Rattus norvegicus: one gene and its partners. The main gene of each other region encodes a partner of the protein of the gene in region 3 in a complex. Links are inferred from orthologs where the notes say so. Each region holds a gene or a part of one and is shown on either strand. Other genes may lie near its edges.

The links.
Region 1: the proteins of Rab9a (region 3) and Sgsm1 are in contact, whole or in part, in a crystal structure (PDB 4QXA), measured with the Mus musculus proteins. The link is inferred for Rattus norvegicus from reciprocal best matches to the Homo sapiens genes RAB9A and SGSM1. Residues at the interface, in NP_062747.1 of Mus musculus: Phe37, Thr39, Ile40, Gly41, Val42, Glu43, Phe44, Leu45, Trp61, Arg68, Phe69, Leu72, Phe76; in NP_766306.2 of Mus musculus: Leu256, Leu257, Tyr258, Gly259, Lys260, Asn261, Asn262, Tyr277, Asn294, Met297, Asn298, Gln361.
Region 2: the proteins of Rab9a (region 3) and Nde1 are in contact, whole or in part, in a crystal structure (PDB 7E1T), measured with the Homo sapiens proteins. The link is inferred for Rattus norvegicus from reciprocal best matches to the Homo sapiens genes RAB9A and NDE1. Residues at the interface, in NP_001182257.1 of Homo sapiens: Ile40, Val42, Phe44, Asn46, Gln59, Trp61, Arg68, Phe69, Ser71, Leu72, Pro75, Phe76; in NP_001137451.1 of Homo sapiens: Asp99, Gln102, Thr103, Ala105, Ile106, Gln109, Leu110, Tyr113.

Annotation. Positions count from the first base shown.
Region 1 is NC_086030.1:49,023,171-49,026,817, reverse strand, and holds part of Sgsm1 (small G protein signaling modulator 1), read right to left. Parts: coding exon 3,597-3,647; intron 1,555-3,596; coding exon 967-1,554; intron 1-966. UniProt on the Homo sapiens protein: Interacts with numerous Rab family members, functioning as Rab effector for some, and as GTPase activator for others. Promotes GTP hydrolysis by RAB34 and RAB36.
Region 2 is NC_086028.1:1,380,575-1,384,807, forward strand, and holds the start of Nde1 (nuclear distribution protein nudE homolog 1), read right to left. Parts: upstream 2,862-4,233; coding exon 2,779-2,861; intron 1,977-2,778; coding exon 1,823-1,976; intron 1-1,822. UniProt on the Homo sapiens protein: Required for centrosome duplication and formation and function of the mitotic spindle. Essential for the development of the cerebral cortex.
Region 3 is NC_086039.1:31,608,638-31,612,916, forward strand, and holds the start of Rab9a (ras-related protein Rab-9A), read left to right. Parts: upstream 1-1,451; 5' UTR 1,452-1,579; intron 1,580-4,279. UniProt on the Homo sapiens protein: The small GTPases Rab are key regulators of intracellular membrane trafficking, from the formation of transport vesicles to their fusion with membranes.

The DNA of each region.
Region 1 (3,647 bases), on a different chromosome or scaffold from region 3:
GAGCTGAGGCTCTTGACAGTGGGGAGGGGGACTTGTTCCAGCCAGGAGAAGTGATGGAACCAGACTGTAGGATGATGTCATTTATGCAGGTGAAGGCAGGTACAAGATAGAACAAGGCCTGTCATTGGACGAGAAGGAAGGATGGGCGGGAGAAAAGTTTTAGAGAGGAGGAGAAGACTGGAGATAGAGGAGAGGAAGAAGCAGCCAAAAGAACATGGAGGCGGATGTTAAGATTCTACTCTGGGGCTGGAGAGATGGCTCAGCGGTTAAGAGCACCCGATTGCTCTTCCAGAGGTCCTGAGTTCGGTTCCCAGCAACTACATGGTGGCTCACAACCATCTGTAAAGAGATCTGATGCCCTCTTCTGGTGTATCTGAAGACAGCTACAGTGTACTTATATATAATAAATGAATAAATAAATCTTTTAAAAAAAAAGATTCTACTCTGTACCTTTGTAGTTTGTTATGAATGTTCTTAAGGGATGGATGTGTACAGGGCTTTGTATGTCTAGGTGGGCAATTATATCTTATCAGTTGGATCAGAGGTTACTGTGTTGTGTGTTCTTTCATGTGGCGATTTAATTGAATTCCAGAGAGTGTGTGGTGGCTGGAGACACTGGGCCGCCATGGAATTGGGATATATTTCTGGCATGGCGGCAACCTGCCTTGGGAACTGGATGGGTAGAGAGATTGTTGCCAGGCTCAGAGAGTGCGATATGGGATGGAGCAGAGCGGGTGAGACGCTTGGCTGACTGAGATGAAGACATCTAACAGATGTCCTGGGGCGCTGTGGTGCCGGATCTAGTGCGGGATAAAAGAACCCTTATTTTAATTTTACGGCAATACCAGGGGACCCAGCCCAGCAAGCCCTTCCTGTGAGCCCCCAAGATGGAGAGAGCGAGACATGAGGGAGTTGAAGCCTGCGGCCAGCCTTACCCTCGTCCAATAAAGACTCCTGGTGACTTACAGAGTAGGTGACGCCACTGGAGGACACAGGGGACGTCTCGTTGTTGGCAGAGGAGGTCACAGCCAGAGAAGCCAGGGCAGGGAACAGACTCTCCATCTCTGGCTCCTCTGAGAGGTTGTCCTCGCTGTCAGCCCGACCGTGCTTGTCTGCCTCGCCAGGCCAGCCGTCCATCATGGCGCCATCCTTCTCGGGCAGGGCCACGTCCAGGCTGCCAGGGATGGACATGAACTCCTCCAAGCTCTCGTTGGCAAGGAGGTCACTCTCAAGACTGTCTTGTACTGCCAGCTCCTCCCGGGGGGCCTCGTCCCGGGAAGTGGTGGCCTCGCTGCTCTGTCCGTCTTCCACACTGCTGTCCCCAGGCCGAAACACAGCGGGGAGGCTGCGCTGGACATCCAAGACACTGTCTTCGGTGCTAAGACTGGGCTCTGAGTGCTCTGAGAGGCCGGAGGAGAAGTTGTGGGAGGAAGGGTGTCCGGAGTCTGGGGAGCAAGTGCCGTTTGCTGGGTTCCCATTGGGGATCTTGGGGTGTTTTTCTTCTGACCTGCCTTCTGCCTCTGTCTGTTCCACCTCATCCACTGACTCAAATACCTGAGGAAAGGGACACACGGACGTGCGAGTCAGGACGGGCATGGCAGCACAGCTTACAGCAGCAACTTAATATCCAACAACAGGGACTACTTGAGGATGGATGGGGTGGAATAGCACGCAGTCAGCACAAAGGCGGTGTGTTCCAAGTGCTGAGGTCTCATTGGCAATTCAACTGGCTGAAGCTGGCTCTGAGGAGGGCGACTAGGGAAACAAGTTTGGGAGAGGGGTGTGGCTTCGCAGGATACAAACCTCTAACACCTAGACTTACTTGTGTTTCTATGCCCTTCAGCCATTAGCCCTCAAGTTCACAGTAAAGACCAGGGCAAAGCCTCACACTGTTTCTCAGTTCACTGGGTCTACTTCTGCTCCTTCATGAGCAGGGATGGGACCTTGTCATGTGCATAAGCTTGGTGTACACACACACACACACACACACACACACACACACACACACACACACAAATTATTCTACCCAGAAGGTAATATTTTATACACATTTTTATACTTTTCATTTTAAAAGTTATTTTATTATTTGTTTATTTATGTGTGTAGATGTCTGGGTGTGTGCACACATGAGTACAGATGCCTTTGGAGTCGAGAAGAGGGCGCCAGATGTCCTGGGGTTACACCTGGTTGTGAGGCACCCCACGTAGGTGCTGGGAACGTATGTATGTATGTATGTATGTATGTATGTATGTATGTATTTGTGTGTGTCTCTGTGTGTGCACATGAGTGCCGGTGGCCTTGCAATCCAGGAGAGGGCACCAGATCTCCTGGAGTCACACCTGGTTGTGAGGCACCTCATGGAGGTGCTGAGAACTAAATCTGGGTCCTCTGCCATAGCAGTTTGTGCCCTTCACCACTGAGCCATCACTCCAGTTGTGCTTTTCCTTTTGTTTACTGAGGCTCCAGGTGGAGTGACATCCAAAAGCTATTGCACAATACAACACGTCTGCTAGCATTTATGTGGGATCTTAAGAACTACCAAGTGTAGTGGCTTGAATAGTTTTGCCCCTCTTTTCCCAGACTCATGTGCTCGAATGCTCGGTCCTCAAGGACTTACACTATTAGGAGATGTGTCCTTGTTAAATAGGTGTGGGCTTGTCTGAGGAAGTGTGTCACTGTGGGGTGGGCTTCTGAGGCTCCTATGTTCAAGCTCCAACCAGTGCAGAAGACCCTCCTCCTAGCTACCTGCAGAAGAGAGACCTTCCTTTCTGCCTTCAAGATGCAGAACTCTAGGCTCCTCTAGCACCATGTCTGCTGGCATGCTTCTTGCTATGATAATAATGGACTTAGCATCTGAAATTCTAAGCCATCCCAAATCAAACGTTTGCCTCTATAAGACTTGCCTTGGTGAAACCCTAAGTGAGACACCAAGTCTTTCTATACATTATATATTTCCGTGTATGTAAAGGCATCCAGAAGGTTCTGGAAGGCCACACCGTGGACTTGTGATCATAGTACAGTTGTTTCAAGGGAGGACAGAGAGGAAGGAGGCAGAAGCAAAGTGTGGTTTACTATTTTATAGAGGAGCAGACTCCTGGTCAGCCTCTGAGTTCATAGGCCCTAGGTCCAACTAAGATTCAACCAATGCTGAGTGAAAATACCCACAAACCACTGCACCTGTGTAGACCCGACTGGGGCGTGCGCCCTTCATTCCTAGTGACACAGCCCGATGGTTATTTCCATGTTGTTTGCACTGCACTGCTCTTGTGAGTGGCCTAGAGGTGACCTGACGAATGCAGCACATTCTATGCATACCCTTGTCATTTTACCCCGGACTTGGATCCCGGGATGCTCAGGTCCACAGGGTCTGCATCCCACTGCTGTGGGTTTCAAGGAGGCAGCAACTGCTTGTAATACTCCCAATATTAGCCAGAGAAAGTGGAACGCATCCAGCATAGCAGCTGTTGAATGATGGACATCCAAACCCTACCACCGAAGATGGGAGGGTGGGGCTTGCATGGATGCAGCAGCGGGTGTGGGAGGCGGGCTTGTGGGCGGGGCTGGGCATGGGTGGGGGCGGAGCCTCTGAAAGTCACCTGTGTGCTGCTGCTGGAATCGCTCTGCAGTCGGAGGTTCTGGCGGCCTGA
Region 2 (4,233 bases), on a different chromosome or scaffold from region 3:
ATACTATTTCATGTGTGCCAAACCAGCCTCAAACAAACTATGTACCCAAGAAGCAAAGGATACTCTTGAACTGCCTGTCCTGTCCACCTTCCATGGATAGTCATGAGCTACCATGTCCAGTTTATGTAGTGTTGGGGCTTTTGTGCAAGCATTCTCAGTTCCCACCTGAGGCACAGCCTCAACAGGCAGCTTCAGGCCTCCTCTCCTAGCCTCCCCTGAGCTCAGTTAACAGAACCTTCTCTCCATAGACCTAAAATTTCAGAAGAGAAGCAGTTGTTATCCTAGTTAGGGTTATTATTACTGTGATGAAACACCATGACCAAAGCAACTTGGAGGAAAGGGTTTATTTGGCTTATATTTCCATATCATGGTTCATCAAAGGATGTCAGGACAGGAACTCAAACAATACAGGAGCCTAGATGCAGGAGCTGATGCAGAGGCCATGGAGGGGTGTTATTTACTGGCATGCTCCTCGTGACTTGATCAGCCTTCCTTCTTATAGAACTCAAGACCACCAGCCCATGAATGGCCCCATGTACAATGGGCTAGGCCCTCCCCCATAACCACTAATTAAGAAAATGCCCTATAGTGGAGACATTTTCTCAACTGAGGTTCCCTCCTTTCAGATGACTTCAGCGTGACAAAAAACTAGCCAGGACAATGGAAGATGCTGTGAATGATTAAGTGACAGTCATTCAAAGAATGTATGCCCCAACTTTCCCAACCATGTGCCTGCTAATCCTCTCACTACCTGCTACCACCATCCTGTCCACTCTCACCTGGTCCTTGCAGAGCCCATGAACCTTCAAATGAATCATTCAAGGTATTCATAGCCACATGCACTCACCCAGGCCCCAGCTTCATTTTTACCTGAGAGGACACATTCTAAGACATTATGCTACATCCCCCCAAAACTTCAGAGACCACCAAACCCTATACATGTTTTGTTATTCCCATGTTTGCTGTCTTACATTATAATACTTAGTTTACAAACTAAGAAATTAGTAATAATTACAAAATGGAATAATTATATTATACCATAATAAAACTTATTTAAAATGTATAACTTGTTTATTTCTGGAATTTCCCATTTAATATTTTTTGGATTTTGTTTGATTACTGGTAACCCAAACCATGGAAAATAAAGCCAAGGAGTCTGAGTAGGACTATTGTAGTGCCCAGTTAATAAACCTGCTTATGACTGGCATGGTCCAACAGACTGTTCTAGAAGAGGATATTCTGTAGTCCCTGTACCCAGAAGTGAAACCCATGAGTTATATGTGGCTACAGAGCACTTGAACTGTGGTAATGTTAATAGAATTAATTGTTTTCCTCATTAGCTTTCATTTCAATAGCCATATTCAGCTAAGAGATGCCATACTGTACCTTGTAATATACAAGTAGGAGACATTCTAGAGCCAGGCAGGATGGTGATTACCCTTAATCCCAGCACTTAGGAAGTGAATGCAATGAGTTCAAGGCCACCCTCAGCTACATAGTAAATTCAGGGCTGGTCACAGTGAGCCTGGACTATCTGACTCAGTCTCAAAGAGCTACAATTCTGACACTGCAGTCTCTGAAGAACTCTCCTTGCCATGTCCCTTGTGAAACCAGTACAGACACCACCAAGAAGGGCTGTAGGCCATGTATATGGCTTGCTCATCACAGATTTCCACCTACTGGGGAAGAAAAGATACAATAACCAGACACAGGGAGGACAGAAAGTAGTGGGCCTGGTGCAGCCACTTCCTTGCTTCTCCAGCCATGCAAGGAATGCCACAAGCCATTCCTTTCTGTACACATGTCCCCTGGGGCCCCTCACCTTCACAGACTCCAGCTCCATTCGAAGGCGGTTATTCTCTGATAATAGGTCCCGGTTTCTGGTTTCAGCTTGCTGCAGCTGAGTCTCCAATTCAGCTTCATATTCCCGGCTTCCTTCCTGGAATTCTCGGAGTTCCTCCTGAGTATTCTCTGCCCTGTAGCAGTATTACAAATACATTTATCACAGAATTAATGATGCTGGTATTGGTGTGTGGATCATGACTTTATTCAGCTACCATTATTCCCATTTTATGGAAAAGATGACAGTTTATAAGAACTGGCATTGAAGTACACAGCTATAATCTTAGCATTCAGGAGTCTGAGGCAGGAGGCTCAAGAATTCAAGATCAAATTCAAGATCAGCCTGAATTACACAGTGCTGGATCCATCTCTCCCTCTCTACTATTAGATGCGTGCACTGAAACACCAGTTTTCAAGTTCAAAATCTTCAAGAGGCTAACTTTTTTCAATTTTATTTTCTGTGTACAAGTGTTCTGCCTACATGCATGTATGTGGACCAAATGCAAGCCTGATGCCCAAGCAGGTCAGAAGAAGGCATCAGACCTTCTGGACCTAAAGTTAAGGTTGGCTGTAAGTTACCATGTGGCTTCTGGGAACTGACCCTGGATCCTCTACAAAAACAAGTGTTCTTAACCTTGAGGCATCTCTTCAGCAGCAGCCTATTTTGATAGGCACAGGCAAATCTTCTCCATAGAAGACCTGATATAAAGACCCACCCAGAACATACAATGATATGTTAGAATGATTAGGTGACTCAGTTTGTAGTTCAAATTCCAACTCTCCCTCTCACAGCTGCTCCATGGGCAGGCTGTCTGAGCTCTCAATTGCTCGGGGGGCCTCTGTAGAGAAAGGTGATCCTAGTTTCTTCATCTCAAGATAAGACATGGTGCCCACCACCCTCCCAGGGAGAATAGGGAGGGAAGCTGCAGGACTGACCTCTGCTTGTAGGTCATGGCCAGGTCTCTCCAATAGTTTGTTTCTTCCTCCTCTGATCCAAAAGTCTTTCCTGAGTCCTCCATGGTAAAATGGGCAAGAGCTCACTCTTCCTGTGGCATGATGTCTAGGAGTAAAGTTTGAAATTAGCAGCTTTTCTGGGTAGCAGCTGGTCTTTAATTAAAGACAAGCAGCAAAACATAACAAAAAGCAACACTAAAAGACTGAACTTCATGCTAGATCAAATTAGGAAAAAAAAAATTCGTCCTCTCAAATCAAAACTAAATCCAAATAAAAAGTAGTCTATCTTCAGTTACAGCCCAAGGCTTACGTTTATCTCTGCACAAACATTTAACATCTGGCCCGTAGATCAAAACAAGGTATCTTCAAAACCCCTGCTCCTCTTGTGGCAGAAGGAAAGGAAATGGAAGGAAGTTCTATGTAGGACTGCACAGACCTAGGTGAGCACAGGGACAGGACTCTACACACACACACGCGCGCACACACACACACACACACACACACACACACACACACACACACACAAATATCACTCTTCAAGACAAAACCAACACTACTGCTTGGCTCTCATTACAAGAGACAGAGACAGAATTCTCAGAAGCTGCATGAGCCAGCTAGCTTGGCATACAAGCTACAAACAAGAGACCTACTCTCTCCCAGTTCAGAGAAAACATGTCACTTTTGTCATCATACCCATAGTTGAAGTGACAGAAAGTGAATGATCTATAAGCACCCCTCCCCCCATTGCTCACTGATTCTGCCATCTTCTTGTAATAGTACCCCAATGCTCCATTCTCATTCTGTGTGGTTCAGGGAGCCGGGACAGCATCTGGGAAAGACCAAGCCTAAACATGCCTCTACATCTATGAATGGCTCAGCAATGGGTCTAACTTACACTGAAACACCAGCTCAGGAGCTGAACCAAGCCCAAACTGAGCCCATGCAATAAATTTACGTACAATAAACCAGGGCTAGGTGATCCTCTGACCCTGAATGTTTAGATCGAGGCCTTCTGCATAGCTACAGATAGAAACTCACAAGGAACAGCCTGTCTGAGAAAGGATCCAATAGGAAAAGGTTGCAAATGAACCTAGAGAGATGGGATCCTGTCAAAATCATCACCAGAGAAGCTATACTCAATTGAAGCTTATAGCAGAGAATCCACTCCCTGCTGGTACTGGATACAGTTCCCAGTTTAGTAAACATAGCTAGTACTGCTGCCAGAGGAGTTTTAGAAAGGGGCTTCCTGAGCTGAGGAGACAGGTAACTGGGTAAAGCGCTTGCTAAACAAGTGTGACAAGCTGAGTTCAGAGCCCCAGCACTGAGGTAAAGTCAGATGTGGTAGCACATGTTTGTAATTCCAGTGTTCTCTCAGCAAGATAAGAGACAGACAGGATCCTCAGAAGCTCATGAGCCAGCTAGCTTGGTATATAAGCT
Region 3 (4,279 bases):
TTTTCAACATATCATGAAATATTTAATAACATATTTACCAATAGATTACACACTTATAAAATATGTACAATATTGACATCTCACATTGATAATGGATTAGAGAAAATATCAACATCTTGATTACTTAAATGTTTATGGTTAAATTGTATACTATTGAATTCTGTTTTTCCTTCTATGTGAAAAGTAGTCATATTTTTCCTTAGAGATGGTCTCGTATATCCTATGTACCAATTCACTCCGTACCATGATGATCTTGAGCTCCTGTCTCCACTTCTAGAATGCTAGTAGGTTGATGTGGTGTTGGGTTGGAACCCATGGTTTCCTGTATGGTAGACGAGCACTGTAATTTGAGCTGCATTCCCAGCTCACTTCTCCATATTCAACAGATTTGTATATCATTAAATCTTTATTCAGATTTCCTCTGGGGAGATATTCTGCACATATAAAAATAGATTTCTTTTTATAAGAAAAAAACATTAAAATTCAAACTGGAACTCAATATTTATTATGTGCCTTATTTTCATAATTATTCTAAAATCATACTTGTGAGAAACTTTGCTAACTATAATCTTCTGGTGCTTGATGAAAGGTTATTACCTGAAAATGACTCTACAAAGAGGCAGACATTATGTAAATTGTTGTGGATCATAAAAATAAATGTCTTTTCTTAGAAAATAAACATAATCTATGTTTATGGAGGGCTAAGAATCTTTCTTCCAATGACTATTTTTTACCATTCTATATACTCAATTCCCCTTATAAAGCAAAGAAATGCAAACGCCTCTGAGGCTACGTTTTGCCATTATTGATTTACAATTAGAGCTGAGGAGGCAGTACTTTAACAAGGAAAAACACTTAAAAACTTAAAAAGGTCTTTATTAGTCTACAGTTCGCAAACATATTCCTTATTCCTTTGCCATTTGCCTGTTCTTTGCTCATTTGCACATTTGTTTTTTAAAGGTTCAATACTGTTGTTATAGTACTTTTATGATCTTTTTCTACTTTAAACTTCAAGAATAACTTATTACTTCGTGACCACAGTTAGAAGGAACACAGGTGGGAAGGCCAGAGCAGCAGCTAGCACAAAGGAAAACTGCAATTTTGCAAAGCAGTCTGTGGGGAGAGCAGATTCCAGACTTCCTGGCTCTGCCTTCCTTGGGCCTAATTCCTGCGATCCATACTAGGGTCTTTGCCTTAGGGTTTGGGATCGCTGCCGCAAGCCACGCCCACAGTCCAGACCCCGCCCTACAGCTCTTGGCCTGGTGCTACCACCGCAGGCCCCGCCCCGTAGCTCCTGGTCCCGCCCTATGAATTTAGGCCCCGCCCTCGACCTGGGCCCTGCTTTACCACTCTAGGCCCTGCCCCACTGACTCAGGCCCCGTCCCGTCGCCCCACTGTCAAGGCCCCGCCCCTCTGCCTTGGCCCCGCCCCGCCTGACCGCCATATTGGTCCTTCTGCCCAAGTCGCTCCCTGCTGGAAGTGCTCTCGACATTCCCGACTCTCTGGCCCTCTTTCTGCCCTGGTTGTACCCAGGTGTGTTGGCGAATAGCTCCCAGGACGTCCTGTGTGTGTCTGCAAGGTGAGTGGGGGTCATCATCCGATTTGAGATCCGGCCAGAGCTGGTTAAGAGCGCGTGCAGCCGGAGCTGAGCAGCCGGAGCTGAGGCCGCCAGGGCGAGGGTTGAGCCAAATTGGCGCGGGTCTATAGACGGCTGGGCAACGGGGGCAGCTTGTCCCCTACTCTCCAGATGACCCACATTCAATCACATGGGAAGAGGAGCACACACCCAATCACTCGGGACATATACGCGCGCGCGTACACACACACACACACACACACACACACACAGAGAGACAGAGAGACAGAGACAGAGAGACAGAGAGAGAGAGACAGAGAGACAGAGACAGAGAGACAGACAGATCAGATCCTTAAAACATCTCAGGAAAGAGATGTTTTCCAAACAGTTGGGAATAGGATGGTGGAACGATGCTCTCAGGGACAATGCAAATACCTGGGTATAAGCATATACACCAATCTTTCCCCTAACCACACGGGGACACTCACGCGCTCGAGACCAAACCTTGCCCCTGTGTGACTAATGCTGGGGAAGGCAAGCTTGTGTTATTTGAGTTTGGCGACCTCTGACATGTTACCCTTTGACCCACTCAGGTGAGGGAGCTAGGAAGTTAAAGCCAGGGCAAAGAACGTGTAGGCGGTTGGGTTGGGAACATTGTCAGATTCAGATCTTGCCTGAGGTTTCAGAATCGCGTTTCTTCCATCCCTCCGTCTTAGTGAAAAGACTAGACGAGACTTTTAAATGCTGACTAAATGATTGGTGAACGTATTATGGTTGTGTTTTGTTTCTTAAGTGATGACACATCCCATGATCATACTTCTTTTGAGGAATAACTTTTCTGCAAGTTTCCGAATTGGCACGTGACCAGGCTTTTCACAGCGTCCTCATAAAATCAACAGACTGAATTTGGTTTTTGTTTTGTTTTGTTGGTACAAGTTTTCCCTTTTTCCTCGCTAGCTCTACTGCAATGGAAAATCCCTGCACTGCCTGAAATCTCAACTAGAATTGAAGGAAACCCGGGACTATCTACGAACTATTTCCCTTTTCTTTTCTTTTTCTTCCATTGCTGGAGACCAAACCTAGGGCCTTGTGCTTGCTAAGAAAGAGCTGTACCCCTGTGCGAAATTCGCAACTCCTCCCTCAGCTAAGGGACTTAAGTGCCCTGCTTTTACTTTGTCTTTTATAATCTTAGTTAGAAGTTACCACTTCTTGTGTAGCGCTCCAAGTAACAACATATACCAGCTTTGTATTTAAGTGGCCGTGTCTTCTTGCTTTGGGGATTCTTCATGTGCATTGTAGTGTTTCGCTGTACTGAAAGATTTATGGTTTTGGAGGCTTACTTACTTAGAACATTGGAGGAATTGAAGGATATTTATGTTTTATTTTCTGGAAGGTTAAAGTAGACAAGCAAAAACCAGACCGTCCATTGTTGGAGAGCAGGAAAAGACATTGGCGGTCGTCTCTTTTCCAGCCTCATCCTTTTACATGTTCCCCATTCAACTACTTCCATTTTATATTCTAGTACTCTGGAGGCCTCAAGTTCTCTTAGTTCTAGCAATTTCTAACCTCCCTCATTCTTTTATTTTTTAACCATTTATTGGGAAGACCTACTCCGGCTCACATGAGCTGGTTCTGTTTGAGTCAGTACGCTCAGTGCATCCTTTGCATTTTCCTGGTGTTTCCAAAGCAATGCGTCTGTTACAGTTGAGAAATTTGCTGGTACCCGGGAAGGTTAGATTTCGTTGCCAAGGTCACCTAGGGAGTGAGGGAACAATGTTGAAATTCAAATATGTTTGTGGGTTTTTTGAAGTAGTAGTTCTGCACTGTGGGAGGCAATTTTATCCTCTCAGGGGATATTTGAAAAAAAAATGGAGAAAAGCATTTTTTTGGTTCATATTCCAGGCCATTCTATAGTTCTTTAAGCACAGTGTCTTACTGTTTAAGATAGCATTTTTATTATTTTAAAAGCTTGCTGGGGAATACAGCAAATACAGAGGCGAATGCCAGCAGCAAACCACTGAACTGAGAATAGGACCCCCGTTGAAGGAATCAGAGAAAGAACTGGAAGAGCTTGAAGGGGCTCGAGACCCCATATGTACAACAATGCCAAGCAACCAGAGCTTCCAGGGACTAAGCCACTACCTAAAGACTATACATGGACTGACCCTGGACTCTGACCTCATAGGTAGCAATGCATATCCTAGTAAGAGCACCAGTGGAAGGGGAAGCCCTGGGTCCTGCTAAGACTGAACCCCCAGTGAACTAGTCTATGGGGGGGAGGGCGGCAATGGGGGGAGGGTGTGGAGGGGAACACCCATAAAGAAGGGGAGGGGGAGGGATTAGGGGGATGTTGGCCCGGAAACCGGGAAAGGGAATAACATTCGAAATGTAAATAAGAAATACTCAAGTTAATAAAAAAAAAAAAGCGTGCTGGGGCTAAATTCTATAAGGTTTATGAATACCTGGTAATGGAATCTCTTTTTTAAAGCTGGCCTCAGTATTGCTGTTATGTACTGGCCCGCATTGAATTCCTGATTCTACTGCCTCAACTTCTTAAGTTCTGGGATTACAGGAATGTGCACCTACACACAGTTTCAGAATTTTTAGACAAAAATGACAAAACCTTTTGAGCTACTAGGCACCTCTGCAGTTGACTTAGGAAATGTGTTTTTCCCTTATTATCATCCACAGGTTTTATCCTGG